3 linked regions of the Rattus norvegicus genome follow. The protein of the gene in region 1 binds, or shares a complex with, the protein of each later gene. Links are inferred from orthologs where the notes say so. Each region holds a gene or a part of one and is shown in the gene's direction. Other genes may lie near its edges.

Evidence for each region.
Region 2: Cnot2 (region 1) and Cnot7 share a complex: the UniProt entries of both Homo sapiens proteins name them as parts of the CCR4-NOT complex. The link is inferred for Rattus norvegicus from reciprocal best matches to the Homo sapiens genes CNOT2 and CNOT7.
Region 3: Cnot2 (region 1) and Cnot8 share a complex: the UniProt entries of both Homo sapiens proteins name them as parts of the CCR4-NOT complex. The link is inferred for Rattus norvegicus from reciprocal best matches to the Homo sapiens genes CNOT2 and CNOT8.

What each region holds. Positions count from the first base shown.
Region 1 is NC_086025.1:54,025,498-54,035,793, reverse strand, and holds part of Cnot2 (CCR4-NOT transcription complex subunit 2), read left to right. Parts: intron 1-1,356; coding exon 1,357-1,436; intron 1,437-3,777; coding exon 3,778-3,903; intron 3,904-4,949; coding exon of another isoform or gene 4,950-5,128; exon of another isoform or gene 5,129-5,195; intron 5,196-5,618; coding exon 5,619-5,743; intron 5,744-6,630; coding exon 6,631-6,751; intron 6,752-6,846; coding exon 6,847-7,003; intron 7,004-9,797; coding exon 9,798-9,859; intron 9,860-9,951; coding exon 9,952-10,001; intron 10,002-10,296. UniProt on the Homo sapiens protein: Component of the CCR4-NOT complex which is one of the major cellular mRNA deadenylases and is linked to various cellular processes including bulk mRNA degradation, miRNA-mediated repression, translational repression during translational initiation and general transcription regulation.
Region 2 is NC_086034.1:58,485,712-58,496,007, forward strand, and holds part of Cnot7 (CCR4-NOT transcription complex subunit 7), read left to right. Parts: intron 1-2,319; coding exon of another isoform or gene 2,320-2,358; intron 2,359-3,712; coding exon 3,713-3,874; intron 3,875-6,036; coding exon 6,037-6,181; intron 6,182-8,838; coding exon 8,839-8,949; intron 8,950-10,296. UniProt on the Homo sapiens protein: Has 3'-5' poly(A) exoribonuclease activity for synthetic poly(A) RNA substrate. Its function seems to be partially redundant with that of CNOT8.
Region 3 is NC_086028.1:42,778,088-42,788,483, forward strand, and holds the start of Cnot8 (CCR4-NOT transcription complex subunit 8), read left to right. Parts: upstream 1-4,158; 5' UTR 4,159-4,198; intron 4,199-4,214; exon of another isoform or gene 4,215-4,340; intron 4,341-5,433; exon of another isoform or gene 5,434-5,507; intron 5,508-5,641; exon of another isoform or gene 5,642-5,667; 5' UTR 5,668-5,763; intron 5,764-8,546; 5' UTR 8,547-8,635; coding exon 8,636-8,752; intron 8,753-10,383; coding exon 10,384-10,396. UniProt on the Homo sapiens protein: Has 3'-5' poly(A) exoribonuclease activity for synthetic poly(A) RNA substrate. Its function seems to be partially redundant with that of CNOT7.

The sequences.
Region 1 (10,296 bases):
TGCTTGGCATACTTCCTGTTCAACCTGTAGCCCATAAGCTCCAGTTGTTTCATGTAGGCTCTACAGTATTCTGTCATTTTTATCTAAGTTTTTAAGAAATTATTTGCAACATGTTATCACAACTTTTGATAGCTTCTCAGCTGTGTTGCTTAGGCTTTATCCACTCTGCATTCCTGTTCATTAAATATATTTTAAAATTTTTACTTTCTTGTATTTCACATTTTAATTATTCAAAAAGTACTTTGCAAAAAATGTCACTGTAATAAAACTTGAATTTCTGCTTATGTGTACGCCTTATAAATTGTTTTCACTATGAGAAAGCTTCAGTTGAGTACTAGATCTGTGTTTGAAGGTGCCTGTACAACCAGCAGCTCTAGTATAACAGCAGAAATGTTTGTTGACTCGCTATCTTTGCTGTGGACTATTGGTCCATTAGCCGCATAGCTTAGCAAGAGGTGGCTGGTTCTACTGCATTAGACAGAAAAGTTACACTTGTCATCTTCAGAGGCTTAGTCCTGTTCTGCACTGGGATACTAACCTCTGAGAAGACCATTTAATGATAAAGTTTCTTTGTAGAATCTTGTTAATAATTCTTATCGACATCCTTGATTATCTGGTCTTTTGAATACAGTTTTTTTTTTGTTTTGCTTATGTTTGTACAAAAAGTAGTTATTTATAATTATTTGCAGAAATCAAGTTACGCATTAATTCAAAAATGGAAGTACTATAGGGAGGTTTTTTTTTCTTTCTGTTAAGTAGATGAAAACTAAGCTCTATTTAAGATATGAGTGATGAGTTTTAGAACACTGAATTCAGTTTTCTAAGTACCTAGTCAGTTTAATTCAGGTCAACTCAACATTTATTGAATACCTTGAAATTTTAACACCAGGGGGCAGAGAATGAATAGGACATAGACTCAGGGGAAAGAATAGTTGGGAAAGACCGGGTTGTAAAGAGAAGGCTTGCACTGAAAAGCAAGCTTTACAAGTCAGGAATGAATGGTTTGGGAGGGAAATCTTAAACCCTACCTGCATACTGTCGAGGTTGGTGCATTTCCCCAACAAGGTAGCTCACTGTCAGCTCTGAATGGATTCTTAATCTCTGTTCTTCAACAGTAATAACCAAGTTTCTTTTTCGGTTTTTAAAATTTATTTGTTTAAATTGTTTCTTTCTTGTTCATTGAAGAATTTTAGAGAATTTTTAAAATTGAAATAAAGATTTTATTCTCAAATTAGCATTGGTTTTGAAACATATTGATGTTTTATATGAGGAGACCCAAAGCATATACTTTTATTTTTCTTCATCTCAAACTTAGTGTTCTTACTGTATATCTAAAATTATTTTCTATGTACCCAGTATGTCTGGATTTGGAATGAACAGGAATCAGGCATTTGGAATGAATAACTCCTTATCAAGTAACATTTTTAATGGAACAGGTAAGCTTACTCTGGAGCTAGCACCCTAATGAAAGTACAGTAGAATTCTGAAATACAAGCAAGTCGGCGCACTGGTCTCTGAATAGCAGCAGGATTTTACTGTTTTAAACAGAATTTAGTTTAGTGGAAAACTGTCAGGGATAGGATTTAAGAAAACATCAGAAAGTAAATGTTTTTTTCCCCAACTTGGCCTTGCACAATTATTATCACAGTTATTTTGTAACATCTAAAGAGAGTAAATACTAATTTGGACCATATTTGTGCCTCAGAATCTTGGGTTTTTTCTTCAAAATGTTTCCTGTCCTTTGCCCTATCACTGAGTGTTAACAAGAGTGTAGACTAGGTTGAATGGTAGGACATTTTGATTTTAGATACATGGATTGAAGAGAATCTGTCAATCGTAGGACGCACTTCATTTTTAAAAATAGCTTTAATGAAAATTTTCACATTTAATCCTTAAGAATTTTGATTCAGTATTATCTATAAGATTGAGCTACCTGGAAACTAACTTGATTTTTGGCAAAAACTAAAGTCTGTTGGTTTCTTTTAGCAACTGCTTTAGCAGGAAATAAACAGGGAGTGAGTGGTAGGTATTGCTGGCTTGCCTTGCCTCTAGGTGCTTTGGTGATGAGAAAATAGTGGTGTTGCCATGGTTATAGGACCAGAGTTAGTGTTCCTGGGCACTCTGTACGTGAAGGTGGCAGTAAGAGGAGAGGTTGTAAGGTAGCATGCATACGCCGCAGGAGAAGACCTAAAGGAAGCCCTGTGGTAGCTGTAGGCTTCTAGCTTCTGCATGTTCTGGTGGCTTGTTGAACAACTGAAGCGGACCAGCCAAGATTAAAACCATTGACAGAATGGAAGTCTATAAGCATTTGAAAATTATAGTTTTCTGGGTGTGACTTTAAAATCCGTCAACCTTCTAATTCTTAAGCAAAGTCCTATACTTGATCACCTTTAAAGAGCACACTTTTCATACCCAGTGTGTGAGGTCTGGCTGCCTCTCACATTGCAATTCAGTGTTTTTATATGCTACTATAAAGTCTCAAAATTTTAAATTCTTGGATTTTATACTGGAAAAATTATTTTCAAGACTTAAGTTTCTAGTTGAAAAATTATAAATTGTTGGTTAAAATATATTCTCACATAATACTTGACATTTAGACATGGAAAGATCTAATGTTATGTATTAAAATTTAATTTTTACTTGAAGAAGTTTATAATTAGTCATAATATGAGAGATACTAACTTATAAATTAATCAGTAAATAAAATTTTAATTTATTTTGCTTTATTGTATTTTTAATGGAAATTAAAAAAATAATTTATGAGAAATGGCTTATCTTGACCTTTATAGTTGTAATTTTAAATTATCACCTTCCTTGGTTTAATAAGTGAACTTACTTATAGAATAGTAGTTATGATGCTTTTAATTGTGAAATTTTTCAGAAAAATCAAAATTAATTGGAAAGCAGCCCTAAATCTATACATGCTTATAAAACAAGGCACAAGATAAAGAAGAATGATTGTATACAGTTAAATTGTAGGTAGAAAATTAAGTGGTTCAAAATTAGAATACAGGTTAAGAACATGAAAGGCTGAGAGAAAAATAATTAAAATAGCCAAAGTAGAGAAGTTGGGTTAAATGTTTATGTCTAATGGTAGCAGTTTAATATAAAACAAATACATACATCTTTATTCCATATATTTATTGAGCGCCTACTGTGTAACAGGCAATATAAAGTTCTGGGTTTTGATCTTTATTCCCCACCTACTCCTGATACTTAGGAGTCCATCCTTGCATGGAGCTAACAAACACATACATGTGTACACATTTTTGTTTCAAACTAAAGTATATATGACAGAAGTCCTCAGGGCTTCCTCTGTTTGCCTCAAAATCTTTCTGGACTTTTGCAAGAGCTAATGTCATCGTATCTTAGAGTTGAAGCTCCCAAGTCATCTAGATCTTGCTCCATCCAGTTTGAATGAAAAGAGCAGTTACAGCTAAACAGTGTAGTTCTTGTTCCCTAAGAAGCACTAAGTTTTATTGCCCTCTTCCAACAGGGGGAAATAATGTACAACTCCTCTCTTTTTCTACATCTCCAGACTTGGGTGTTTTAAGATGCTGGCTGTAGAATGCTTTCCTCAGTTATTAGGGAATTCATTCCATGACACAAAATCAGTCCACAGAATCCACAGTATGTGTGTCCACTGTCATGTGCCTACAACACCACACTGCACTATTAAAGAAGACGACACTGTTGTTTCCAGTGAGATGTTTGGCTTTTGTGTGTCATTGTAGATGTTTGTGGAATCAGTAACAAGTATTATCTCTTATCATTTAGATGGCAGTGAAAATGTGACAGGATTGGACCTTTCAGATTTCCCAGCATTAGCAGACCGGAATAGAAGGGAAGGAAGTGGCAACCCAACTCCATTAATAAACCCCTTGGCTGGAAGAGCCCCTTACGGTAATTCATATTCTTAGTGATGGCCAACTAAAGGTTACAGTCATGTGTACTACACACATGCGTGTTTATGTGTGCATGCTTGTATGCATTTATGTTTCAAACCAGGTTAGCTCTATTTTGTCAGAAATCTTAATTTGAAAATTGGTTTTTCTTTCCATATATCTACAATAGCAAAATTGAGTAGTAAACTTTAGTACAGAAATCTAAGTACTTGATTTCATTGCTATTCAAAAGTTATTTCTTCTATTCTATGTGCCTTAATTTATTATATGTGATTGGTTTTGTGACTTGGCTTTTGTTAGTTGCCTCCCCCTCCCCTTTAAGAGAATATATCCCTGGTGACTAATAATAACTGCGTTGAGATCTCTCTCTGAGTGAAGAGGTCTCCTGAGTCACACTGGGGCCTGGAAGACTCATGTCAGGAGGAGGGTAGTCTGAGGGCACTTATTCAGATAGGACATTTATCAACGCTAATGACCGCTGTGTGCAGCACTGGCTATCCTGCCATCCATGTGGCACACGTTTCTGCATACTGGCAAATGCCCTCTTGAAAAGCCTGTGAGAACCAGTGCTTATGATTCTGTATTTCTGTAGATTCTTGGCTATGATTAATAACCCAGTCACTCTTTTTTACAGTCTATAAGTTAAGAGATTCGGGTAGTAGAGCCTGAATAACAATGTTAAGAAAAGCATTTGCAGTGACAGTATAACAACGGAGACAGAAACATTTGTGATGTCAGCATAGCTAGATTGTTGTTACTCGTGGATGAGATCTGATAGAGGCTGGGATCGAGGCAATGATTAGATGAATTTCTTCATCAGTTATTTTAAAATGGAGCTAATATTTTCTCCATAAGGGTTTCAAGTTCCATACTTCTGCATATGAATAGAAATAATGTGTGGAGGAAAAACTTTATTGATCATGTATATCTTAAACCTTCCAAATCTGTTTTCCCAAAATAAGAGAATGTGCTGTGCCCTGAAGTTGCGTGCCTAGCTGCTTGCTTCTCAGTTGAGACGCTAATGTTGTTAACCTTTCCCCATAGGTCCTTTCTTTCATCCCTTTAAACATTCCCGTTGCTCTCCTTGGACCATCTCTAGTTTCTCCATTTCCTTCTTGAATTGTGGAGCCCCAAACTGGATTTTGTTCTCCAATAAGGGCCCGACTAATGACAAGTATAGTGGGAAGAGTATTTCCCAGTTCTTGCATGTTTTACATCTGTAACATGGAGTCCAAGAAAATGAGAAATAAAGTGGAATTGTTTTATAATTGGTTGCAAATTGCTCACTCTGTAAGTCAATTTTAAGTAGAATACTGACATGTTCTTTTAAATTTTATTATATTCATTTTCATTTGACAGCTAACTGGTGTTTATGGCATGTAGTGAGATATTTAAAGCTAGCCTATAAGCCAGCATTTTAAATATTATTACCAATATATCAAATACTATTTTAAGCACCTATATAACATTAGATTAGAATTACAGGATTACCACTTGTTTTCCTTGTATGCTTTATATGTTGCATTTTTTTAGCAGTAAATCAAAATTTCATTCTTTATCATTATCCTGAATATTAATTTTTGAGTTATCAGTTCACGTGCTTTTAAAAAGAACTTTTGGTATATTGTGATAAGCAAAGTTAGCTTCTTATATAGTTTATAAGACAGTATCACAGATTCAATTACAGCTTTCTTGATTATTTTCATTGCGTAGTTGGAATGGTAACAAAACCTGCAAATGAGCAATCCCAGGACTTCTCAATACACAACGAAGATTTCCCAGCACTACCTGGCTCCAGCTATAAAGACCCAACGTCGAGTAATGACGACAGCAAGTCTGTAAGTAGCTGAGGACATGGATGTGAGGGATATAGTTTTCTCCCTTTAGATTTGCCCTACACTAATAGCTACTGACTAGATGCTGCCACAGAACTATTTGAGCACTGTAATAATCTAACTTCTGAAGAATGTAGAAAGCTTTATAAATTAGAAGATAGCCATTTTTTTCCTATTTCATATAGGTTTGCAAATTTCTGTTGAACTTGTCAGTTAATTTAGACTTTTATTGTAGTCCCTGTCAGCTGGATCCCATGAAGTTTGATAATATAGACTTCTAAGGAGCTGTGTTTTTCTTGAGTAAGTTTTCTCCTTGAAGAATCTTTATGCACATTTTTATACCTGTGTTGATTCAGCAAACTCAGCTTCTGATTTAACAAGTGTGTTTATTTCAACATTTATGGCAGAGAGCTTTTTTCTTTTTGTATGTATGATGGGCTTAAAGAAGATTGTTGGGTAAGGACAGAAATAAGTGTGAATATTGAAACTTGATACATTCTTAGTTTATCGTTGAGGTTGCTTTGTAATATTTTTAGTATTGTAGTATGTAATTACTCTGTTATGTAGAAGTGTGCATCCACAAAGCATAAAACCCTGAGAAAGACAAAGATATTTTTCATGTTTTACTCCCTGTGATCTATGACTGAGATCTTAAAAAAAAAAAAATACTAATTTTCTCGGGATTTCTTGCCCTTTAAATGCTCAGATGTAGACAGTAGACACGGGATTTGTTTGTTTTCCATGAGGCAGTTATGGGGATACAATTTTCGAGTAGAAAACAGGTAATTACTACTAACTTAAATACAATAGTGGACGACTAGCAAGATGTTGATGAATTTAAACTTAGATATTTAACACCTCTAATGTCACATTTTCCTTTTTCATGCTAGAATTTGAGTACATCGGGGAAGACGACTTCAAGTACAGATGGGCCCAAATTTCCTGGAGATAAAAGTTCAACAACACAAAACAATAATCAGCAGAAAAAGGGGATCCAGGTGTTACCTGATGGTGGGACTCCATAAATATGTCAGATATTTTAAAGTACTTTTTTTCCTCTAATTTTCTTAATATAAAGTAAAAATAACTGTGTTTTTCTTAACCAGGTCGAGTTACTAACATTCCTCAAGGGATGGTGACGGACCAATTTGGAATGATTGGCCTGTTAACATTTATCAGGGCAGCAGAGACAGACCCGGGAATGGTACATCTTGCTTTAGGAAGTGACTTAACAACATTAGGCCTCAATCTGAACTCACCCGAGTAAGTTTTTCTTCCATGTTTGTACATATCTTCTAACATATAATAGATTCTCATACTGTTAGCTTTTTCTTTTGAAAAATGCCAGGCAGGCATGATCCTGTATCCTGTGCTACCCCAGAGAGCCTCAGACTTGTAACTAATCTCCTCATCAGCCTGCTTACTCCTGGGCCATTCCTTCTAGCTAGTCCATAGAGCACTGTCACTGAGAAACACCAAGGATTCATGTACAAGCCATTTGGGTCTCTCCCGAGCCACATCTTTATCCATCTCATAGTTCTTGTCATTATTTGGAACTGTGGGCTCACCAGAAATTTAACTTGTTGCCTGATTTCTAACTATCACCATTTCCCCTGTCTCTCTTGTGGCTGCGACTTCTGTATCATTTGATCCTATTGGGACTTAGAGCTCTTCTGCCTTCCTCGGTGTTCTTATCTCTTCGGGTCTTTGATGAGCTCACTTCCTTCTCACCATTAAATTTTATGGTCAGTCATAATTGCTCACTTGCATGACTGCCCTTCTCACTTCTTACCACACTTGCACCTTGGAGTCTGTATCCATCGTTAAACCTGTTTGTTTCATTCCTGACCACCTTCTGGTTGGACTACAGAAAAGCACAATTTTATTGTCTGGTCTTGCTGCACACTCATGCTCAGGAACTTAAAACTGAGTCCAGAATTTTACAGGCACACTCCTACCTGATGGCACGACCCCTTCAGAACCTTTTGATTGCTTTTGGGTGTGTTTGTGTTGTTGGCTGGTTGTTGTTATCCTGTGTGACTGTTTTGCATTTCATCAAGCCACTAATAGTGTTTCCTCCTGTCCATAGCTCTAATAATAACCTGCTTCTATTTCTACTTTACAAAGACAGGTGTAAGCAAATAGAAGAGGGCATTAACCTTGTCCTGCCACCAGTCTAAATCTGACATGCCCTTGCCAAAGTATTTGGTCCATGCTTCCTACTTAAAACTTTGTAAAAACTCGTGAGTGTGCATCTTGACTTTTTCTCCTTTCCCTGGTGCTGGCATCCAAACCAGTGTTGTACACAGTAAGCAGGCATTTTACCTCTGAGCCATGTCCCCCACACCCGCCAGGACTTTGGAAATGGTTTTGCTGCTGTAGTCCAGTGTGACTCCTTAACTAAGCATTTCTGCTTCTGTCTGAGCGATGATATTACAGACACATGCCATGATTTCCTTCCAGGTTACTCTGTTTTGTCAATTCCAGTCAGTAGAGATAACTTATTTTTCCAATCGTATCAAAATACATGATCTTGAGTCAACCACCTTTAAGCTATCATCACATTTTTAATTCACTATTTTGAAGCAAACCATCTCAAATGAATCATCTTGATTTTTCTAATTTGTCTTCTCTCACTCTATTAAACCCAGTTTTGCTAAGATTCTGTTCCCATGGTTTCACTAAACTGTGCATTACCAAATGATCTCCCTAACTTCTGTGGACCATGATCTGCTCACTTTCTCTTGGTGCTCACTCCTCACTTGATTTTGAAGACGTCATTCTTACCTGATAGCATTGGTTCATTCCTCAGTCTCCCTTTCACACCACCTCTCCTTGACCTTTGGATTAGGCCTCTCTGTCCTCTTGATGATCTTATCTAGACTTGTGCTTTTAAGGACCACATAGGTTGAAAATTCCAAACACATATTCCCATTGAAGACTTTTTTCTTGAATTTGAGATTTTAGATACCTTTACTAGCTAAATATCTTTTTAAGATTGGTTTAAATCTACACTGTGTCTATGCTCTCTTGGTCTCCATTAATACTTTCAGAAACTTGACACCATCCTTAATTCTCTTCTTCCTTTTCTCTCAGATGCAGTCTTCTAAAATAGGTACAGAATCCAATCCTATTCTCATGAAATTGCTACCACCCTGGTTTGTTGCCTGAATATTCTGCCAGCGGGTCACTCGGCTGGATCCTTGCTTCTCTTCGTGCTTTTTGTATAGCTTTATAGGTAGCACTTAAGATCATTCTTTCTAATTTAAAAACTCCTCCTTGACCAGCAGCTCTGCCATGTTTGTTCACATCATCCTGTCTTTCTTGTCCCTGGCTGCCTTCTACTGCCTTTCATGTCACGTCCTGCCTCAGTTGTTCTGATATTTGCCTTGACTACTACAGTGTTCTACTAACTAATTACCTGTGATTATCTCCCTCATATCCTTGAATATTTGTTTAAATCTAAGCTTGTCAAAACCAACTTAAACTGACCACCCTATTTAATTATACAAACAATATTATTTATCTGTTATACTAATTACTTGCCAATGTCCAGTTCACCATACACTTAAACAGAAAGTAAGTTTTCCAATATCAGCAGCCTTCATTTTGATCCCTTGACTTATTCAGAGCACCTTGAACAGTTCTGGGGGCATCTAATAGGCACTCAAATCCATATTTAGGGAATCTGGCTGCTCCTCATTGCAGGCTTGAGTGAGGGGCATGGAAAGTAATGTAATTGGAGAGTAGTGTAGAAATGAATTTAAAGCATTGTTAATTATAGCACATTTAGAGTAGACCATTTAAAGTTTATGCCTAAGTATATTTCAATGTGATGTGCTTTATTTTCTATTCTAAGATAGTAGAGGGAGCACTCCTGTGTTGTTTTTCTGCTATAAAGTTGCAGTATATTTAATAAAGGAAACCAGGAAGGATGCTTACTTTTATATTTGAGTTATTTTTTCCATTTTCCTGAAATTAAGTTAGTAATAGTTTTCTACTTCATTCTTTAAAGTGGCTTCTTTTTTTTTTTTTTTTTTTTTTCTTTCTTGTTCAGAAATCTCTACCCCAAATTTGCATCACCCTGGGCTTCTTCACCTTGTCGACCTCAAGATATAGGTAGGAGAATCTATTTCTATTCAGAATTGTTTTAAAGATATTTTCTAAGAATCCGTTAATAACACTTTTGTTTGTTTTTTTTTTTTATGCAGACTTCCATGTTCCGTCAGAATATTTAACAAACATTCACATTAGGGATAAGGTGAGTGTAGCTTTCTGTCCTCAGGCATTCATTTTATCTTCTGTCTTGGTAGGGCTTTAGGTTCAGACGGTATGCTGATCTACTAGTAATCTTAGGGATATGCCTCTGAATGCCATTCACATATGTATAACAATTCTATTTTCTTTTTATTAATAATATTAATGCTGTAGGTCTTATTTTTTTTTTAACCAAACAGTGTTAGGAATGATAAAATAGTTCCTGTAATTAATAATTATAACCTTAAGTATAGTGAATGGAAATAAACTAACTTGGAAAATATAGTGATTATTTTATG
Region 2 (10,296 bases), on another chromosome or scaffold:
GAGTGTCCTCACCACTAATATCCTAAAACTGCTGATCTGATAGATAGTCTCCTCAGGTTAAAGGTTATGGTGAGGTAAACACACTTGCCTGGGGTAAATTTACCAACATGAAGACTATTAACATTGAAGTGTATTCATTTTAGAAAACCTGACTTTAACAATGTTACACTGTTAGAAATATGAAGCACATTTGCTGACCTTCTTTTCTCTTTTTGTTTACAAGAAGAGCATGCTTTTGAAACTGGATAGTGTTGAAAAGTTGAAACAACTTTTACAAGTTTCTCAACACTTCCTCCTAGTTGTTGTATAACTTATAGTTTTGGTATATATTAAGGACATCTCATTTATATATGGTACTGTTATTCAGAGTTCTGAGTAATTGGTTACTTGACCTTTTTCTGTTTCTTTGTTTGTTTGTGTGGGTTTTTTGTTTGTTTGTTTTTGAGACAGGGTTTCTCTGTGAAGCTATGATTGTCTTGGAACTTGCTCTGTAGACCAGGCTGACCTCAAACTCAGAGATCTACCTTCCTCTATTTCCCAAGTGGGCCTTTTTCTTAATGTTCTGTAGTACATCTCACTATGCTATGATGGATGATTAGGACATATGCTTTAAAATTAGATGATAGCTGGATTGGACGACCAGGTGGATGATTAGGGTACACGCTTTAGGTTTTTTAGTGAGCCGCTCTCATGGTTCCTGACTTATGATGGCTCAATTTACACTTTTTGACTACATACAGAAGTAGTATGCATTCAGTGGACGAGGCATTAACTTTTGAATTTTGTTCCTTTTCTACAGCAGCACTATGTACTCTGCTGCAGTGCTGGGTAGCAGTAGGAAGCTTATGGCTTCTGCTTACAGCTGGCTGCTCTCTCATATGATAGTTTACATTGTACTCTGCTGCCAAGCCATGTAGGTGATCTAATAATATGTTCACCTTTTTGATACTGTCTTCCTAACTTCTAATGATATTATCAGGACATAACATTAATCATGGAGGATCTGTATATCTTTTGGAAACTTTGTGGTTAATTTATTGGAAGTAGAGATCTCAATCCAAAGTTGAAAACATTGTTAAGCTTTATTTATTTATTCCCAGAATGAATATTTAAGTTTTAACTAGGCACATATGTGCATATTAAGAAACAAGCAGGCTTTTGCTACTGTTTTCTGAAGTTGTAGTCCTTTGCAAGTTGGAAACTCGTGCTCAGTTTCTTCCATCAGAAGAGTAAATAGCCTATTGTGAATAGCTTGCTAATTGGACTTGTGAGAATACTTCCTTTTTAGTTGTCTTCTTGTCACTCATAGCCTTTGCAATTTTAGGTATTTTTTGTGTTATTAATTTATTTAAGTTTTTATTATTTGAGTTTATTTGGGTTTACTAATTTAATTTATTAAAAACTAAAGATGGCTAACCATCTGTATAACTATCTGCATTCCAGCTTATCTGTATTTTAACTTGATGATTTTATCATAAATTTTAATTTGTTGGAGTTGATATTTTTATGAAAGTACACTTGACTTATTAAAGGAAAGTCTGTTTGAAAGTAAATGACACTTGAAGAAGGTATTGTATCAACCCTATGATGGGTATCCAGATGGGATAATCCAGAAATTCTTTAAATGTTGGTAAGAACACATGTTAGAAGTGTAAGTTCTTATAATAGGGTTGGTTCAGATGATAAAAATAGGAAATTTGGTATTTTTACATAATTAGTAGATAGTGCATCTTTAGGATATTAACTGAAAATAGCCATATATACCTATGCCTTTTGGGAACTCTTTGGAGGTTTTTACATGGTTTTCATTCATATTCTGTCATAACTAGAGATTTTGCTACCTTAAATCTCAACGATAGATCTAACAGGCAATAGTCAACACCAGATAAAATTTTTAGATTTTGACTAAACAATGTTATAGTTACCCTTTAACGTTAGTGTTAGTATTTTCCCCTTTATTGCTTTAATGTTTAAGAGTAGAGAAAGTAGAATATAGAACATTTAAAGAAAAGGATAGTACACTGATTTGGAAATGGGACTCCTAATTGCTATGGAATTCCCCTTACTGTAGAAAGTTTCCTTCATCCTCTCTAGAGTTTGACCTCACTCATAAGGCTATGAGTTGGGTATTATAAAGCATGAGATCTATACCAAACTTTATTATAAAAGACTCATTCTACGAAGCTTAGACTTGAATTATATATATTTTGCAGAAGAGAGAAAGGGCCTGTTCATATGTCTTTGTTTGCCAGTCTTACTTTATTATAAAATACCGAGGTATTGCTCCAGGTCTCTCACCTGGGAATTGTGATTCAATAGGTCTGGGACTGCATTGGGACCTGGGAATCCATATTTTTGGTAAGTTCCCCTGGTGATTATTATCATTGGGCAAGTTGGGGAAATAATGACTTACAAACCCTACCTCATCGATGCAGTATTTAATTTGGTAATGGTTACCTAATGTTACTGTAATAAAATAAGTTGAGCATGTGGCTAAGAGCAGCCTGAGCCTGGAGAACAGTCTGCTGTAGTCTGATTGGTTAAACGTGTTTAAACAGGTTCAGTGTGAGCCCAAGGACCTCATTTAAGGGACATGATCTTAGTATAATGAGATATTTAACTAGGGTCTGAGGCGGGGCTGCATTGGAATTTATTCTGATATCTTTCCTACAGGATTTTTCAAGAGAAGTCATGATGTAAAGTGATGGTTAGGGCTCCTTTCTGTTTTTAAATGTTTCAATTCTTAACTTTGTCATTTAGTTCTTGACAGTCTGGAAACTAAAACTGACCTTTGAAATTGATTTCCAGAGAATAAACTACAAAAATACAATTAGTCAAAGATAAACATTTATTTTGGTTTTGTTAGTTTTATTGCAATCTTTCATAGAAATTTTCTTTTGCTAATGGTAGAAAGCAATGTTAATGTTAACAATAAGTAAATAAAAATAAATGGTAAATCCACAAGATACTTTTTTATGAATCTTCATCTTCTTAATATAATACCTAACGTATTTGTGCTCAGAAATTACAGGTAGCTTTTCCTCTGCTTTAAGTAGAAATGTGCAGAACTGGTTTATAGTTAGGCTTCCTGGCTTGGTTTAAGGTCATCTGTCTAGGATTGTATTTGCCTCTAATTGTATGCGATTGCTGGAAGGAGAAATGATGTCATAACTGAGTCTTTAATTCTGAACAGTTCACTGCTTACTAGAGCCACCGAAAGGCTCCTCATTTGTGAGAGGAGGCGTCTCCTTTCTCTTTAAGATGGAATGTAGTTTAACTCAGCCACAAGAGATGTTGGCCACTTGGTGTCTCCTTCCTGGTTCTGCTGAGAGCATGAGAGGTGTGCATAACCCCTCATGGCTGTGGCTACAGCTCCATCTGGCAGCCCTAAACTAGCTGCAGAGACTGAAAAGAACATGTCTGTGGTAGCCTCTGGTGAGTAAAAGACCCTTTTTAAGTCCAGTGAGATTTATATAATGTTTAGAAGCTGATGAGATTGAGTTGATGGTAAGGGTTAACTCACCATTGGACTGTTTCAAATGATTATTTACTTCTTGGATACTTTTCATTTTATTTTTCTTGATCATTGTGAAGCATTTGAATGGTTGGACATAAACCAGTCCTCTGTCTTGTTTCTGCACTATAGTTGTAGGCGTAAGTGGAAAACAACTGATAATGGAAATTTTGACCATTTTTTTCTCTCTCCTGCCAGGGAGGACATGTATGCTCAGGACTCTATAGAGCTACTGACAACGTCTGGCATCCAGTTTAAAAAACATGAGGAGGAAGGGATTGAGACCCAGTATTTTGCAGAACTTCTTATGACCTCAGGAGTGGTTCTCTGTGAAGGGGTCAAATGGTTATCATTTCATAGGTAAAAAATAAAAGGGTGGGGGGGACATTGCAATATGCATCCATCATATATCTGCCTTATACCTGTTTGGGTCACTATACCAGCAATTCTTTGCTTAGTTCTAGTGAGTTAACTGCCACGAGCATGTGTAATACCTCACTGAGAACGTTTACCTTTTAGCAAGGCATGTGTTTTAGCCTGGGGGAGGGATTGGTGCTTAGTGGAAAGAATGTAAACTACAACCAACTTTCGTTCAAATCTGGCAAAGCTATTGAGGATTTGTGTTCCTCTTCCTTCTTAACCTTTTTTTTAAGTCTTAGTTTATGTTTATATAAAGGGAGGTATTAATTTTTTAAAAACTTGATAGTACTTTCCTGATGTTAGCCACTGTGCTGAGATGCTAAAACTGAACACAACAGACTAAAACTTTCCCTCCCATGTACTTTCCATTCTTCTAAAGGTAAAGCAGCAATTTGAATGACGTAGTGTCTAGTGTGGCATGTTATACAATAATAAGTGTTACGAAGAATTGATCCACAAAGACAAGACCAAGAACGGATATGTAGGAGGTTTTTTGGTTTTGTTTTGTTTATTTTGCTTTTTGGTTTTGTTTTGATGAGGTGATTGGGAAGGCTATCCTTAGAAAAAATGTCTTGCAGATATTTCTCAGTGGTTGATTACAACCCATACAAAGCATTTCATTTTATATACTCTGTATGTGATGATGTTTAATTCTTTATTATTATTATAAAAATAAAACCGGATAGTTAAGGAGGATTTAAATATTAAACAAGCTAGATTAGTCCATTCAATATCAAAGATATGTCTTTAAAGTCTAATCAGTCTATTTTTTTTAATTATAAATTCTGCCAGTCATGGTACTTGGGAGACAAAAGCAGGTAGATCTCTTGAATCTAGGGCCATCCTATTCTTCCAGCCTAGCCAGAGCTATATAATGAAGACTGTCAAAAATTAAATAGTATGTATATAAATTCTAAACTATAGCATTTTATTAGAAGTAAGCAAAGCCATATTGCTGTATTTTAGAGAACTGGCAAAGTTACTTCTGCCAACTATTAGTGAATTTAAGTTTCTGCTCTTGGGTACATGTACCAAAGATCTTCCATGGTAAAACTCCCCTTTCAAATTATAAGTAAAATAATAAACATCAAATAAAAGTTTATCTTGTATGTCCTCTAAAAGATAGGTTCAGTAAGGTCATTTGCCAAATATGAGTTCAAATTATAGGTGAGAAAAAGATATTTTATAGCTATAATTCCTTTCCTGTAAACCAGTGGAGAAAATCCATGTACCTAAAGGTCCATGTACAGCAGACATTTGTCTGTATAGAGATCTCTGGGTTGGGCACTTGAGGGAAGGCTTGCTGTCGCAGGCCCATCATAGAAAGTAACGTCGAAGGAGTTCAGGAGTGGAGGGACCTAGGCAGCTGGTGAAAGACTGGTGATAAGGATGTGTGACCTCAATTTGAGGCAGAAGGAGAGATGGTGTTGTATTAAAAAACAGTTCTTTTCCCTGGTTCCTACCTGCCATATTTAACTTTCCCATTGATAACTATCTCTTGGAGAGTTATACTGATATAGAAACAACATTTGGGGGAATGTACATCCTAATAAAGTCACTTAGTGGAAATGAAATACTCTGTTAGGGATTTATTCTTTGAAATTGGTGAGTGTCACCATCTCATGTAAATGGTGACAAGGTTTTACATGGTTTTTGCCTTTGAAACATTAAGTCTTGCTAGCTTATAGCATTTTTCATATACCTTCCCATTCATCGTGTCAGTGACCTTACTGAACCTATGTTTTGGAGGTGTGTACTTGCATGTGTATATGGTGGTCATAACACTCAGATTTTACTTGGACGTTTGGGATCAAACTCAGGTACTCATGTTTGAACAGCGTCTCCCCAGCCCAGAATTTTACGTATCAGAAAAATATTATTTAAATGACTATAGAGTTAAATTGATAATATCATGTGTTTAAGATGCTGAGTGATGAATTTCTGCATTACAGTTATGAATGTTTCTCTTTTCATTGCTCCTGTTTGCACATTGTTGTTAATCCTTTTGCCTGTAGTATGACTTATTTAGCTTTCTACCTGAAAAACTAGGTCTTTCATGATATTAATGTATTTTTTCTGTATTCTTTTAATCTTTTTATTAGTGGTTATGACTTTGGCTATTTAATCAAAATTCTGACCAACTCTAACTTGCCTGAAGAAGAGCTTGATTTCTTTGAGATCCTTCGATTATTCTTCCCTGTCATCTATGATGTGAAGTACCTCATGAAGAGCTGCAAGAACCTCAAGGTGAGGCTTCGGGAGACTTTACCTGGAGCTTGAACAACCCTTTCACAGGGATCGATTGAGACCATTGGGAAACGCAGATATTTATGTTATGATTCGTAACAGTAGAAAAATCACAGTTATGAAGAAGCAGTGAAAATAATTTTATGGTTGGGGGTCAGCACAACACAACTGTATTAAAGGGTCGTAGCATTAAGAAGGTTGAGAAGCAGTGATTTAGACCAAGTAACTTCTATAATATCTTAGGCCTGAATGTTTTAAGCCATGTTTTAAAGATCATGTTAAACACAGTTATATTATCTGATCCTGTTGTTCTTAAGTAGTAGACGGCCCTCTTCCAAGCTGCAGTGTTCATCTTGACAGGAGAAGGTTTGTTTTGGGTTTATGTTTTGATTGGTTGGGTTTTTGTTTTGTCATAGATTTTTTAAATTTTATTTTATGTATATGGGTATTTTGTTTGCATGTGTATCTATGCACCAAATGTGTGCCTGCTGTCTGAGGACATGAGAAGAGGGTATCCAGTCCCCTACAATTGTAGTTATGGATGGTTGTGAACCACCATGCTGTGCTTGAGCTGAACCTGGGTCCTCTGCAAGAACATCAAGTGTTCTAACCTGCGGAGCCATCTTTCCAGCCCAGAATAAGGTTGATTAATATATTAATTACATTAAATATATTTTATATACACACACATTCTGTGGACGTTCATAGTAAGAGGTAGCAGAGGCTAGAGGAGAGCGCTAGACTCCTCTGGAACTGAGTCATGGGTACTCGTTAGCTGCAGTGGGTGCTAGGAACTTGGTCCTCCACAGCAGCAGTGCTCTAGGGGCCAACTCTTTAGCCCCTAGAATAAATTTTTTAAAAAGTCAAGCTAAGGGCCAGGTTTTTGTTATTGATGCCAGATTGAGAATCATGAACTGAAACGAAAGTATGAGGTATAGCACACTTACTGGGCCTATTACAGCGGTGCTCACACTCCCAGCACACAGAACTATCCTAAAGATACAGGTTGTGGTTGACGAGCAGCGGGCAGCGACATTCAATACTGTTCTAACGTGGTTTTCCTGACTAGAGACTCTTTATTGTTTCTTGTTGAAGTATGTTATTATTTACATAGCTAAAACTGATTAGGTTTAAGTACTGTATAGTAAATATGTAGTTTCCATATAGATAGCAGCTTATTCTGATACTACTTAAAATATGTGACCATTTATTCTTAACCTTTGAACAAAATAAATGTTTCCTGATTAAAGTACTTCGGTTTAAGAGCAAATTCACCTGAGTTGGCAACGGATCCCTGGCAATACAGTGAGTGGGTTTTTAGTTGCTGGATTTTAGTGTGATATTTAAATTATAACTAAGGAAACAAGTGTATTTATAGCCAGTATTGTCCCTCTCTTCAGTAAAACCAAGGTTGGTCAAGTTTCTTTAGGCTTTAGAAAAGTGAATGTGTAAGCTTTGATTTCAACAATTAACTGAGAATTGCAGGACACAGGTGTTTGCCTCCAATATAGGTGTGGTGCCATATAACTGGGAGAAGTTCTTTGCAAGATTATTTCAGACTATCAGCTGAAAGTTGTAGAATTCTGTGTCATTTGAGGTTTCCTCATAAGTGAACTCCAGCAGAGTATTCTGATTGCTTACACAGATGGGTGGCATGCTGAGAATCTAAGTCTGATCTGGCTCTGACGTTTTTGTTTTTGGTTTTTTTAATTGACAGCTTGGTATGATAATAGTTTTCATAAATAGTCCTAACTCTTTACTCATCTATATATTCAGAAATGCCTAAAAATATATCAAGTATTTTCTTGTGTGCTGTGTGAGCTGCTCCCACTGAAAGTGTATGTTAGTGATAAGGTGCTGCCAGTCGTTCACATTTAGTCTGTGTCTGTATTACCAGTGGCTGCTAAGGATACATAGTGCACACAATGCTGTTTAGCACAGAAGTAGTTGGTGGGCAAAAGTCCTATCAAGCTAGGATGGGACTTCGGAGGGCCTGACTTGCTAGTAAAGCCTTTGTAATTTAAGGAGAGCGTTGATTGGTAGTAGTCTGCTTCTGTCTGTCTTTTATTTCTTCTCTTTTCCTTTCACATTCTTTATTTTTCTCAGTCATGGCTATATTAATGTAAGCATATCATAGCAAACCATTCTAAAAGAGTTATATCTGTAAAATTCTCTTCTTAGTTGAGAAAATGAACATTATGTGGCAGACTGACAGCAGTGGTCTGAACACTCGTGCTGTCTTTGTTTTATTTAGTTGTAAATACTTCAGGGGATGCCTAGATATTTAAAAGGAAATGCCTGTACTCAATACTGAGTTTTTAATGAGTGATGGCACAATACACTGAGTGTGACTAATACCTGTTACCCTGAATCTGATCTACTTCCTCCATATCTGTAGAAAATTGTTTGCTTGTCACATGCCTTAAAATGTATAATTAAGATAAAATTTTCCTATTAGAATTTCATATTTGGTAACAAGGCTTTTATGGTCCACAAATGTATTGCAGATTAATATTTTATCAATCCCCTTGCCATCTTTACAAGGTTAATCTTTACATATTAAAAACTTATTCATATTTTTGTCAGTGTCTAAATGTATAGTTGTGAGTTCCAGTCCCAAAGTCTTCTCTTTGACAAGCGACTGTTCTTCCCTCTAGGGTGGACTGCAGGAAGTTGCTGAGCAGTTAGAGCTGGAGCGGATAGGACCTCAACACCAGGCAGGATCTGACTCACTGCTTACAGGAATGGCCTTTTTCAAAATGAGAGAAGTATGAAGACATCAGTGCCTTTTTCTTGGTTGTTAGGTAGAGAACATTAAAAGTCTGATGACAAAAGTTTTGGGCATTAAGAACCTACTAAGTGAAGATATAAATAGAGGTACTATATAAGTTACATCCACCACATTTGAATGAAAGTGTTAAATAAGTCCTCCTGAAATGTCATCCAAAAAGGAAAGATAATAAATTCTTTATAGAATAAAAAATTCTTTTATTCTGAAATACGTTGCTTACAGAATAAAGGATTATGTGATTGTAGAAGTCATGTACATATGAACATACTGTTTTTTAGATGGACAGAGCAGAGGCTAGTGACTTTAAGCTGAAAGTTAGTGAGGGAACACTAGAGGCCTTTCTTTTTTTTTTTTTTTTTTTTTTTTTTTGGTTCTTTTTTTCGGAGCTGGGGTCCGAACCCAGGGCCTTGCGGTTCCTAGGCAAGCGCTCTACCACTGAGCTAAATCCCCAACCCCACTAGAGGCCTTTCTTAGACCCCACAAGTGCCCTTCTGAGTCAGGGAATGTGTGTCAGAGTTTCCTTAGTTTGTACCTTCTCTTTCTTGAAAATGGTGGTGAGAATAGATTTGCTCGTCTTTCTTTGCTTTGAGGGTTTTATAAAGTAGAACTTAAAGTTTTTACTAAGTCTTAAAGGGCTTTTTGAATTATAGGTATTAATTAACTCTAAAGTCTGATATATAGTTGAATTAAAAGCTATTTCAGGAATTCCCCCATTAAGTACTTCAAGAATAAAATTGATAGGAGTAGAAGGGTGATGTGTAGTGGAACGAAGTCTGTTTTTAGGATAGATAACCATCCTAGTGATAGATATCACGGTTACCTCACTGGTGGTAATAAAACAATATTTAGTTATAGACACATACACACACATATAGATCCTATTTTTTGTTTGGTACAAGTGTGTGTATGTGTTTGTGTCCTATTTTGGTTTGGTACAAATCGTGTATGTGTATGTGTGTGTGTGTGTGTATGTGCATACACACACACATGCATGTAATGCATGTATGTATGTATGTATGTATGTATGTATGTATGTATGTATGTATATAATGTACCTACAGAAACACATTTTTACAGAATACTTGCTGTGGAATTATTTTGAGTGTATTCTCTTGGTAGAAGTATGTTATTGATACAAAGCATTTGATCTGTGTTGCCAGGTAGTATCAATTTAGAAGTTACTTGAATTGTCCACTTACGCAAGTAAATTGTTTAGTTTCAATATAGAACCACCTTTTGGATTTTTATTTTAAAAATGCCTTATAGCTAGTTAATGGTGAGTTTCTGGCACCAGTTTGTTAGCTTTATTGCCCTTGGCTTCAAG
Region 3 (10,396 bases), on another chromosome or scaffold:
TAAATATTTAAAAAAAGAAATGCTACTTTAGTGGATTATGAAGGAAAGAAAAAAAATCTAATATAGATAAAAACAGATTTAATATAGGTTATAGGCTACCAAGAATGAAGTAGGGGCTGGTGCTGGGACTCAGGGACAAAGTGTTTGCTGGGAAGGTCCTGGGCTTAGCCTCCACCATCACCACACAAAAAACCTGAAATCCTTACATAGGAGTCCCCCACCACCTTTTCAGCTACAATTAAATTGTTCAAATATCTAGAAAGAAATATGCATGTATCTGGAGGCTAAAAGAGGTTTCATTGAAATAGCTGTTTTGGAAATGTGGGAGGTTAAAAATTTCTGCCATCTTTGAAGGCGCGGATACAAACTTCAGATTTAAACAGAGAACTGGGTCTGGGTGAGAGGTCTGTATACTGAGGCAGGCTTGGGGAAGCATGGTCTGGTCGGTCTTTATCTAGAGGAGAGTCTATGGGACGAAGCAGGGAAGTGTGATCTGGTTGGTCTCCGCCTAGGAGACATTCCATAAATTATAAACAGGCCCACGTTCACAGAAAGACAAAGGAGCCAGGTGTAAAGTGAAGGCTGGGTACCAGGACTTTAAGGGTTTTTGAGACAGTGTTTCTCAGTGTTTCTCTGGGTGTCCTGAAACTCACTGGGATTAAAGGCATGTACCACCACATCTGTCAGTTTAAATTTTTTCAGGAGTATTTATTTGTGTGTGTGTGGTCATTGTGGCTCACACGTGAAGGTCAGAATGTGGGTCCTGGGGACAGGCCTTTCTCCACGCAACCCTCTCACTGACCTTTAACCTGTCTTTATATTTACTTTTTAAAAAAGTATCTATTTTGGGGTTGGGGATTTAGCTCAGTGGTAGAGTGCTTGCCTAGCAAGCGCAAAGCCCTGGGTTCCGTCCCCAGCTCCGAAAAAAAAAAAAAAGTATCTATTTTGAGACAATATCTCCTGTTCAGTCCTGTTTGGCCTGGAGCTTTTGGTAATCCTCTGGTTTCAGCTTCTTCAGTTCTGGGATAACAGGCATGAACTATCTTTTTTGAAAAATTAAGAAGGGCTGGAGAGATGGCTCAGTGGTGTTCCAGGACAGCCAGGGCTACACAGAGAAACCCTGCCTCAAAAATAAAAAAAATTTTTTTTCTTCTTTTTTTTATATATATTTTTAATGTATGAGTGCTCTTTTAATGTATGTATGTATGCTGCATATATACCCACATGCCAGAAGAGGGCATCAGATCCCATTACAGATGGTTGTGATCCACCGTGTGGTTGCTGGGAATTGAACTCAGGACCTCTGGAAGAGCAGTCAGTGCTTTTAACCACTGAGCCATCTCTCCAGACCTGTACATTTTTCTTAAGATTTATTTTATGTATATGAGCACACTGTTGCTGTCTTCAGAAACAACAGAAGAGGGCATTGGATTCCACTACAGATGGTTGTGAGTCACAATGTGGTTGCTGGGAATTGGCCTCAGGACCCTTTGGAAGAGCAGCCAGTGCTCTAAAGTCGCTCTTTGTACCTTTTTTCTTTTTGAGCAAGGCATACCTTTGTTTAGAACTGGAGACAATAGTGATAGGTTATTTTCCTGCCCCTCGTGAAATGAGCGCCAATTTAAATCAGATTAGATTAAAGGCAGGTTTATTGGGAAGTTCTGGTTGGACCAAGGACCAAGGTCATTTTAAGGGAGAGGGGCGATAGGGGAGGGAGAAAGAGAGAAAGAGGCACTAGCCCAGAGAGAGGAAGAGGAGGAGGTGAGAGACCAAAATGCTGGATTATATAGGGAGGAGCCTCTGTGGGAAGGGCAGCCCAGCCCCTGGGCTAGAAAGTTGAAGGTTGGGGCCAGGGTGTGCCAGGTAGGGACTGAGGGATGCTGGGAGAATTTGGAGGCCAGATCTGCTTTGATGTGTAAAATATGCACTTCAATCCCTTGTCCCAGGGTCCAAAACCAAACATTTAGGAATCCAGGCTGCCCATGGAGAGGTACGGCCCAGCTCTTGAAAAGATCTATGTTCTAACCATGTTTCTCTGTACTTTCAAAACTATGCTTTTTCAGTTGAAGAAATTTGTTCAAACTTTAGTTTCTCTTGTTTGCAGTTTGAAAGTCACTCCAGTTCCTTCTGAAATACAATTAACATTCTGTGAAAAGCTCTAGGTGAAGGGTGTCGGGGGAAACCAGGTGTTTCCTGTTCAACTCTTTCAGAACACACCAGGCCTATTGGTGGCAAGAAAAAAAAATTCCATGCTCTTCACGTGACTAGCACATAATAGGTCCAACCTCTCCTGAATCGGATTCAGAGGCTGCTCCTCACATGACTAGCACATGCTAGGTCCATCCTCCCCTGAATTGAATCACAGAACAGAGCACAGACTCGTACTGAACCAGCCAACTGAGGGAAGGCAGCATTTAACTAGCCTAGACAACCCGAACACGTCAAAAGAGGCCAGGCGTGGAGTCAGTGCCATCAACATTGTTGCAGAGTTAATCTACGGCAGTTACAGTTACTAACTACACAGACCTCTCATTCTTTGTGGTGATGGCTATTGCCTTCCTCATCACAATCTTTTTTTTTTTTTTAAAGATTTATTCATTTATTATATATAAGTACACTGTAGCTGTCTTCAGATACACCAGAAGAGGGCATCGGATCTCTTTACAGATGGTTGTGAGCCACCATGTGGTTGCTGGGAATTGAACTCAGGACCTCTGGAAGAGTAGTCGGGTGCTCTTAGCCGCTGAGCCATCTCTCCAGCCCCCTCATCACAATCTTATGTCTCTACAGATCCTGGAGAGAAGCAGCAAAGGTTGGGCTTCAGAAACTGTCCTTGACATTGTTACCCCAGAGGCTGGCTGTGAGATTTCACTTCTCTGGCTGGAGTAATAGTTCAAAAGGTTAGCTCTTATTTAGATAGTATAGCTCAGTGGTAGAGCGCTTGCCTAGGAAGCGCAAGGCCCTGGGTTCGGTCCCCAGCTCCGAAAAAAAAAAAAAGAACCAAAAAAAAAAAAAAAAAAAAACACTTCTGGGGCTGTAGAGATGGCTCAGCGGTTACGAGCACTGACTGCTTTTCCAGAGGTCCTGAGTTCAAGTCCCAGCAACCACATGGTGTCTCATAACCATCTGTAATGAGATCTGATGCCCTCTTCTGGTGTGTCTGAAGACAGCTACAGTGTACTTATACGTAATAAACAAATAAATAAAAGTTAAAAAAAAACTTCTGGAATAAAAGTTTAACATAAAAAGGGCAGAGTAACTGGGGGATGGGACGTCAGAGGGGGACACCTGCTGTCCGCCTACCTACAGAGCCCCTTGGAGAGGAAGCACCAGGGATGGAGGCTGGAGCTGCGCTAGAGGAGGAGGCGGTCCTCAGAGGCCTTAGTCTTCTCGCCGCGTGGGAGAGCACGAGATGGCGATGCATCCCAGCATGGCCTCGCTGCCAGCTGAACCCTCTCCGGGACTGGCCCCTCTCTCTGCACAGGCCCGGGTGCAGCGCTGCTTATGCTAGCTGGTTGCCAAGACAACGTTCCGTCTAGGTCCTGGGAGGCAGTGCTCAGCTGACCTCAGTTAAGACTTAATTTGGTGGCGCCCCCCAAACCCCCACCTAATGGCCATTCAGAAGGGGTTCTATGGATAGATGTTCTCTGAGTGAGGAGTTCAGGTCGCAGTAATCGAGGGTCAGGACACCCCATGTTCCCTGCACCATCACCTCCAACCAATAGTCCTAATACGCCCTGATGTCAGGAAGTGGGGCCAACTCTAGATTCCGTCTTCTCCCGAGGCGCGACTTAGGATATTTCAGAACCCAGAAGGGGATCCAATTTACACAGCTTGACGCCGTCTGAGGCCGCAGGGCATACCTCGTTTTGCGCACGCGCCCTCCGAAAACCCTAATTTTCTCGTTCTGCGCCTGCGCAAGAAGGCGGAGCGCGTGTATCTGAGCGCGCACTGGGGGAGGAGCCGAGACTGGCGGGCCCGCGCACGCCTCGAGTGACGCGAAGAGTAGGCGAGTCGGGAGGGCCGAAGGGTAGAGAGGCTCAACCTTCTGGTTTGTTGCAAATCGTAGGCCGCTCTGGGCTCCGGGGCTTGCGTCTCATTGTCGTGTTGGGTTCCTGGAGCGGATCCGGGGCAAGAGGGAGGAGAGCTCGGGGTCAAGGGCCGCTGCCGCCCGCACTCGGCGGGGCCGCCAGCCAGGGTAAGCAGGCTGGGTTGCCCAGGGTAGGAGCTCGAGGCGGAAGTGCCTCCGTGGCGACCCATCCTACACACGGGAACACTGAGGCTAGGGGGGCTCTTGGTCCCCTAAGTCCAGCCTGGAGGCCTAAGGAGGCGGGGGGAAGGCAAGAGGCCTCTCTGCTTGGATCTTGGGGTGCTGCAGCTTTGCGTGGCAGAGCCGCTCTCGGGTAGCCAGCAAGCTGGATGGGGTGCCGTCTGAGTTCAGGGCTGTGGCCTGGAACGCTCCAGAGGGGACCTGTTGCCATTTCTTCTAACGGGCCGCTGCTTCCTCCTTCGCCGGTCTTGCTCGGCTAAGCCTTTTGTTTAGTCTTCTGGAACAGGGAAGTGAAGCTTTTTGTTTCCCAGACGCTCTGGCGAAAACAAAACCAGACAAGTAGGAGACACTCAGCTGAACTGTCTGCAAGGCTAGCAAGGAGAGCATGTTTCTTGAGCTCTCACTTGCTTGCACTTCTTGCACTACTGCTCACCTGGGTGCACAGAGACCCTGCTCCGAAGTTTGGATAATCAGGAGCGGTTTCAATCAGGAGATTGTTTTGCTCGCTCGCATACACACACACACTCCCCCCCCCCTCTCTGTGTCTCTGTGTCTCTGTGTCTCTGTGTGTGTGAGAACACAGGGCAGGGTGTGCGTGTGTCTGTGGTGTATGTGTGTGTGTGAGAACACAGAGCAAGGTGTGTGTGTATGTATGTGAGTGTGAGAACACCTTTTGCTTTGCAGTTTCAAATGTAGCTGGATTGGGGATCAAGTTTTAAAGCCAGCCTGTGAGGCAAACATTACATGGGATCAAAATTTTCCTTTAAGGAGTTGGAGAGATCGCTTAGGTGTTGATGCACTCAACCCTTCTTTCACATACTCATAAATAAATGGAATAAAAATAAATCTTTAGAGGAGAATGCAGCCTCAACCTCTGAACCTTCCTGAAGAACTTTGAAGGATTTTTTTTTTAGGGATTAATGTTTATTAGTGTATGAATTTGCAATTAATGCCATGTGTGTTGGTGGCAAAAATAGGCCAAAAAGGTGTCAACGTTCTCTGGAGCTGGAGTTACAGGCATTTGTGAGCCAACTCACATGAGTGCTGGAAACCAAACTCTGGTCTGCAAGAGCAGCAAGTGCTCTTAACTGCTCAGCCATTACTCCAGCCCTCATTCTGCTTTAAGCTTTATTATTATTATTATTTTTTTTTTTTGTTCTTTTTTTCGGAACTGGGGATCGAACCCAGGGCCTTGTGCTTTCTAGGCAAGTGCTCTACCACTGAGCTAAATCCCCAACCCCTTTATTATTATTGTTGTTGTTGTTGTTGTTCTTGTTATTATTGGTGTACACATGTGCCAAGTTGCATCATCATCATCATCTGTGTGTACACATGTGCCAAGTTGCTCAGCTGGCTCACTGACTGGTTTAGTTTGCTTTCTTTTCTTTTAAAAACAGGGTCGCAGCTGGTTGTGGTGGTACTTGCCTTTAACCCCAGCAGTTGGAGGCTGAGGCAGTTGGATCTCCGAATCCAAGGCCTGTTTGGTGTACACGGTGAGTTCCAGCACAGCCAGGGCTACAGAGAGAAACCTGTCTCAAAGGACAAAACAGAACAGTGAAATAAAAGCAGGGTCTCCTCCAACTGGCCTGGTGACTCCTTTCTCAGCCTCCTGAGCGTGGGATTGCTGTCTTATTTCTGAGTGTATATAGCTCAGGATGCCATTTTTTTTTTAAGTCGTGAAATTCATTATTGCTCTTCTGGTTGTAACCTAAATAATGAGGTTACTTCAGGGGCTGTTATACTAATAACTGTACTTGAAAACATAGACTCACTTCATCTGAGGTATGGGAAAGAGAGGCTGAAGAAAAGAAGTGTGCTGCTTCTTAGAGCCTGGGCTCCCTGGGTGGAAAGTGGAGGAGGCTGGTTGCCTGTGTGGAGTTGCTGTTTTCTCTCTTCCCTGTGGCCAGCATGCCAAAAAGTTCACTTGCTTAGTAAAATGTGCCTTATGTGATCTCCCTTGTACGTCTGCAAAGGATCCCTTGTGGATCTATCTGAATTATAGGGTCTGAAGCCAAGGCTGATCTGGAACTTTCCAAGTTTTAGCACAGGCATCCTCTTCATTGGAAAGGATCTGCCTTTCCTGGGCTGAAATCTGCCGATCGTATCTGCACAGATTTGCTAGGGAAAGGTTTGCTGCAGGGATGACTTGTGTGTCTTTGCCAGTGTCTGCTCCTGTGTGGCTGCCCTTTACCTGATAATAATGTAACAGTAGCTTTGAAAGTGGTTGGCTTCCCGAAACAAACTCTTTCTTTAGGCAGTTTGTTTCTTTATGCCTGTGTTTTAATGGAAACAACTTTCAGCAGTCCAGGACTGACACCCACTTCCCTGCTATGTAGTTTATGGCTTGCTTAGGGAAACAAGGTTGTTGTTTTCAGTAACCAGACATGGGAAGTGACTTCAAGAGCCAGGTGCAGTGGCTCATGCTGATAGCTGCAGCACTTGGGAGGCAGAAACAGGAGGATTTTTACAAGTTCAGAGGCCGGCCTGGAGAAGTCTGGAGTAAACATTTTCTCAGTTGTCAGGAAGTTGAATTTACTGGGCATTCATTGTGAGTGAGCATCTTTCCTAGTCTCTGCTAGTTCACTTGCCAGCCTTTATTAATAAAAGAAAAACCGGAGAAGAAATGGATTGTGCCTTCAGGAGGCAGCTGCCACATGTTTCTTTATGTTGAGAGCCACCACTCAGTGTTCAGTCTCAGGGAAGCTCCTGCGAAGAATAGATTGCCTTGAGTGAACGAACGGGTCTCTTTAGAAGTAGCCAGCCCTGAGGATGGTCCTCAGTGTCTTCTGGAGTCTACTGTATGTCAGTTCTAGAGCTGGAAGACAAGGCTTTTCCTTCCTCTGGGCTTTGGAAACCCCTCACGTTCATTTACTGTTGCTGAAGTTTTCACGCATGTGCACTGCAGCTCACCTTTACCTGTCCTGTTGAGGATCCATACAGTGGGCTTCGCCTCATAAGGAAGCTCTGTGCCATTATGCACCTCTCTCCCCAGGGTTTCCCTGTATCGCTACACTGGCCTTTAACTTGTGTTTAGGGGTGTGCGTGTGTGTGTGTTTTGGGGCCAAGGATCAAGCCTGAGGTTGTTAAGCGCTATCAGAAGCCTTTTCTGTTCTGTTCATAAGTGAGCCTTTTGTGCTGGTTTGCTGTAGTGACTGGGAGCTGAGGTGATGTTGAATTTGATCCTGCTGAGTACATACTGTGGTGTGCGCCATCAGCCAGTCTGCTCCTGTTTGAATTATTTTTACTGGCCACCTCTTCTTTTTTAGTTATTTTACTTTATGTGTATAAATGTTTTGCCTACAGAATGTCTGTGTACCATGTATCTGTTTGGTGCTTGTTGGGGCCAGAGGAGGGCATCAGATCCCCTGAACCTGGAATTATGATTGAATGTAAACCACCATTTGGGTACTAGGAACTGGACCTGGGTCTTCTGTAAGAGCCACCAGTGCTTTTAACCTTGGAAGTATTTCTTCAGTCCTACCACCCTTGTATTCTTATTGTATTCTTATTATTATTAAAAAAAAAAAGAAAACAAAAAAAGGGATGGGAGGGTCTTGTGTCTACATTTTTTTTTAAAGATTTATTCATTTATTATATATAAGTACACTGTAGCTGTCTTTAGATACACCAGAAGAGGGGATCGGATCTCTTTACAGATGGTTGTGAGCCACCATGTGGTTGCTGGGAATTGAACTCAGGACCTCTGGAAGAGCAGTCAGTGCTCTTAACTGCTGAGCCATCTCTCCAGCCCCTTTTGTTTTTCAAGACAGGTTTTTCTGTGTACCCCTGGCTGTCCTGAACTTGCTTTGTAGACCAGGCTGGCCTCAAGCTCAGAGATCTATCTGCCTCCTCTGCCTCCGAGTGCTGGATTGAAGGCAAGTCCTACCACCACGCCCGGCATAACTTTCCATTTTTAATGTCCTGTTAAGGGCTCAGGTCAACAGGTAGCGTTTTCTTTGTATGGAGAGAGAACAAACTTGACAAAGGCCAGTGCAAGCACTCCATAGGTAGTGGGTGCCTAATGCACTGTTAATGAAGCTATGGTAAGGCTGGTTTGTGTGTGTGTTTTCAGGCAGGGTCTTGCTGTGTAGCTCGGGTTGACCTTGAGTGGACTCAGTATGTAGTCCACGCTGGTCTGAAACTCTGCATCCTTCTCCTGGGCCTGCTGAGTGTTAGGACCTTGTGTCCGGGTCACTGAGTCAGCCTAACACTGATGTGTTTACATCTTACACGACGATGTAAACTTACTGTGGTTTCTAAATGTCTTTAAATCTAGATTGGATCCAGTGTGGAAGATTAAATCAAGCAGAAGGGGGCTTGTTCTTTTCATAGTTGGCTCACAGTGGCTCCTCAGGTGCCTTCAGGATGCCTGCGGCACTTGTAGAAAACAGTCAGGTCATCTGTGAGGTGTGGGCCAGCAATCTTGAGGAGGAGATGCGGAAGATCCGGGAGACTGTCCTCAGCTACAGCTACATCGCCATGGTGAGTAGGCCTTCCCCACCAAAGCCAGGGAGGCTAAAATGACTGGAACCTGCATGCTTTTGTGAGTCAAGGCAGCTAGTGTCTCTGAGGAGGGCACAGCTTCTGACACAAGTTTTCGTAATATTCCTCTGATGGAAAGTTTTTATATTTTTATTTTTGCCTAGCAGGCCTTGTGCTTGTCCTCCTGCTTCTGCCTTCTTGGTGCTGAGATATGTGTGCACCATTGTGCCCAGTGTGTGTGGAGCTGGGCAAGTCCTCTAGTGTCTGACTTGCCCCAGCCCCTTAGACATAGTGAACCTGAACACGTGGTATTTATTTATTTTTTAAATTTGAAGACAGGGTTTTATGTAACACAGGCTAACCTTGAGCTTGCTGTGTTTCAAGAGGATGACCCAATTTTCTGACCCTCCTGCCTCCGTCTCCCAAGTGCTAGGATTATAGGCATGTACCAACATGCTCGGCCTGTGTTTTCAAAATATTCACACATTTTATTGCTAGCACGAACTAGGCAGGCAATGTCACACTGCAGCTCTGGCGTCTCTGGGTAAAGTGGGAAGGACTGGTATCAGTGCCTCATTTATTTTCCTGCCTGATGTCGGGTCAGGTGGTGCTTTTCTTAGGCTAGCCCCTGAGCAAGCAGGTGTTCAGTTCCACTGCAGGCTTGGCGCTTGCTACTGTCTGTCTTCAAACCCTGCCTTCACTCCTCTGTCCAAAAGAGGCACTAGCCTCACAGGCCTCCCAGCCGGTTAAGATCCTGTCATCCCAAACAGTGGGTGTGAGGGTGGGGATCAGGAGTTCAAGACCAGTGAGTATAGGCCAGTCTGAGCTTTACAAGGATAAAAAGGGTTTTATGTACACAGGGCAGTGAAATAGTCACTCAAGAAAAAGAAAGGCTGCATTTATCCTTCTTAAAAAACAAGAGACGGGGTTGGGGATTTAGCTCAGTGGTAGAGTGCTTAAGGCCCTGGGTTCAGTCCTCAACTCCAAAAAAAAAAAAAAAACAAAAAAAAAACCAAACAAGAGACCAAGGTGGGAGCTCTGAACAGTAGGCTGTCAGCCAGGCTTCTCGTGCACCGAAAGTCACAGCAGGAAGCTGGTGTGAAGGGGTGAAGCTGCTGTGAGCACCACATCTGCGTGGCTGCATTTGTGTTTAACTCGTACTGGAAGTTCCTATCTGAGGCTAGAGAGATCACTTGTTCTTCCAGAGGACCCAGCCGGGTTCAATCACAGCACACACATGACAACTCACAACTGTCCTTAACTCCAGTTCCAGGGGACCTGACACCCTCCTACAGACATACATGCAGGTAAAACACTAATGCATGTGAAATAAATGAATAAATTTTTTTTCTTTTTCTTTTTTTTTTCCCCCGGAGCTGGGGACCGAACCCAGGGCCTTGCGCTTGCTAGGCAAGCGCTCTACCACTGAGCTAAATCCCCAACCCCATAAATGAATAAATTAAAAAGTTCTACCTGACTTCACATCTCATAGTTACCCAGGCTTGTGTTGTGTTGTGGGACCTTGGGGAGCTTATCTTGGGGCTTCTGTAAACTGAAGAGCAGTTCTGCTCAGGAGTTGCTGAGCACCCACTCTTAGGTGAGACTTAATAGTGAGAGGCTTTTGTTCCCAGGACACAGAGTTTC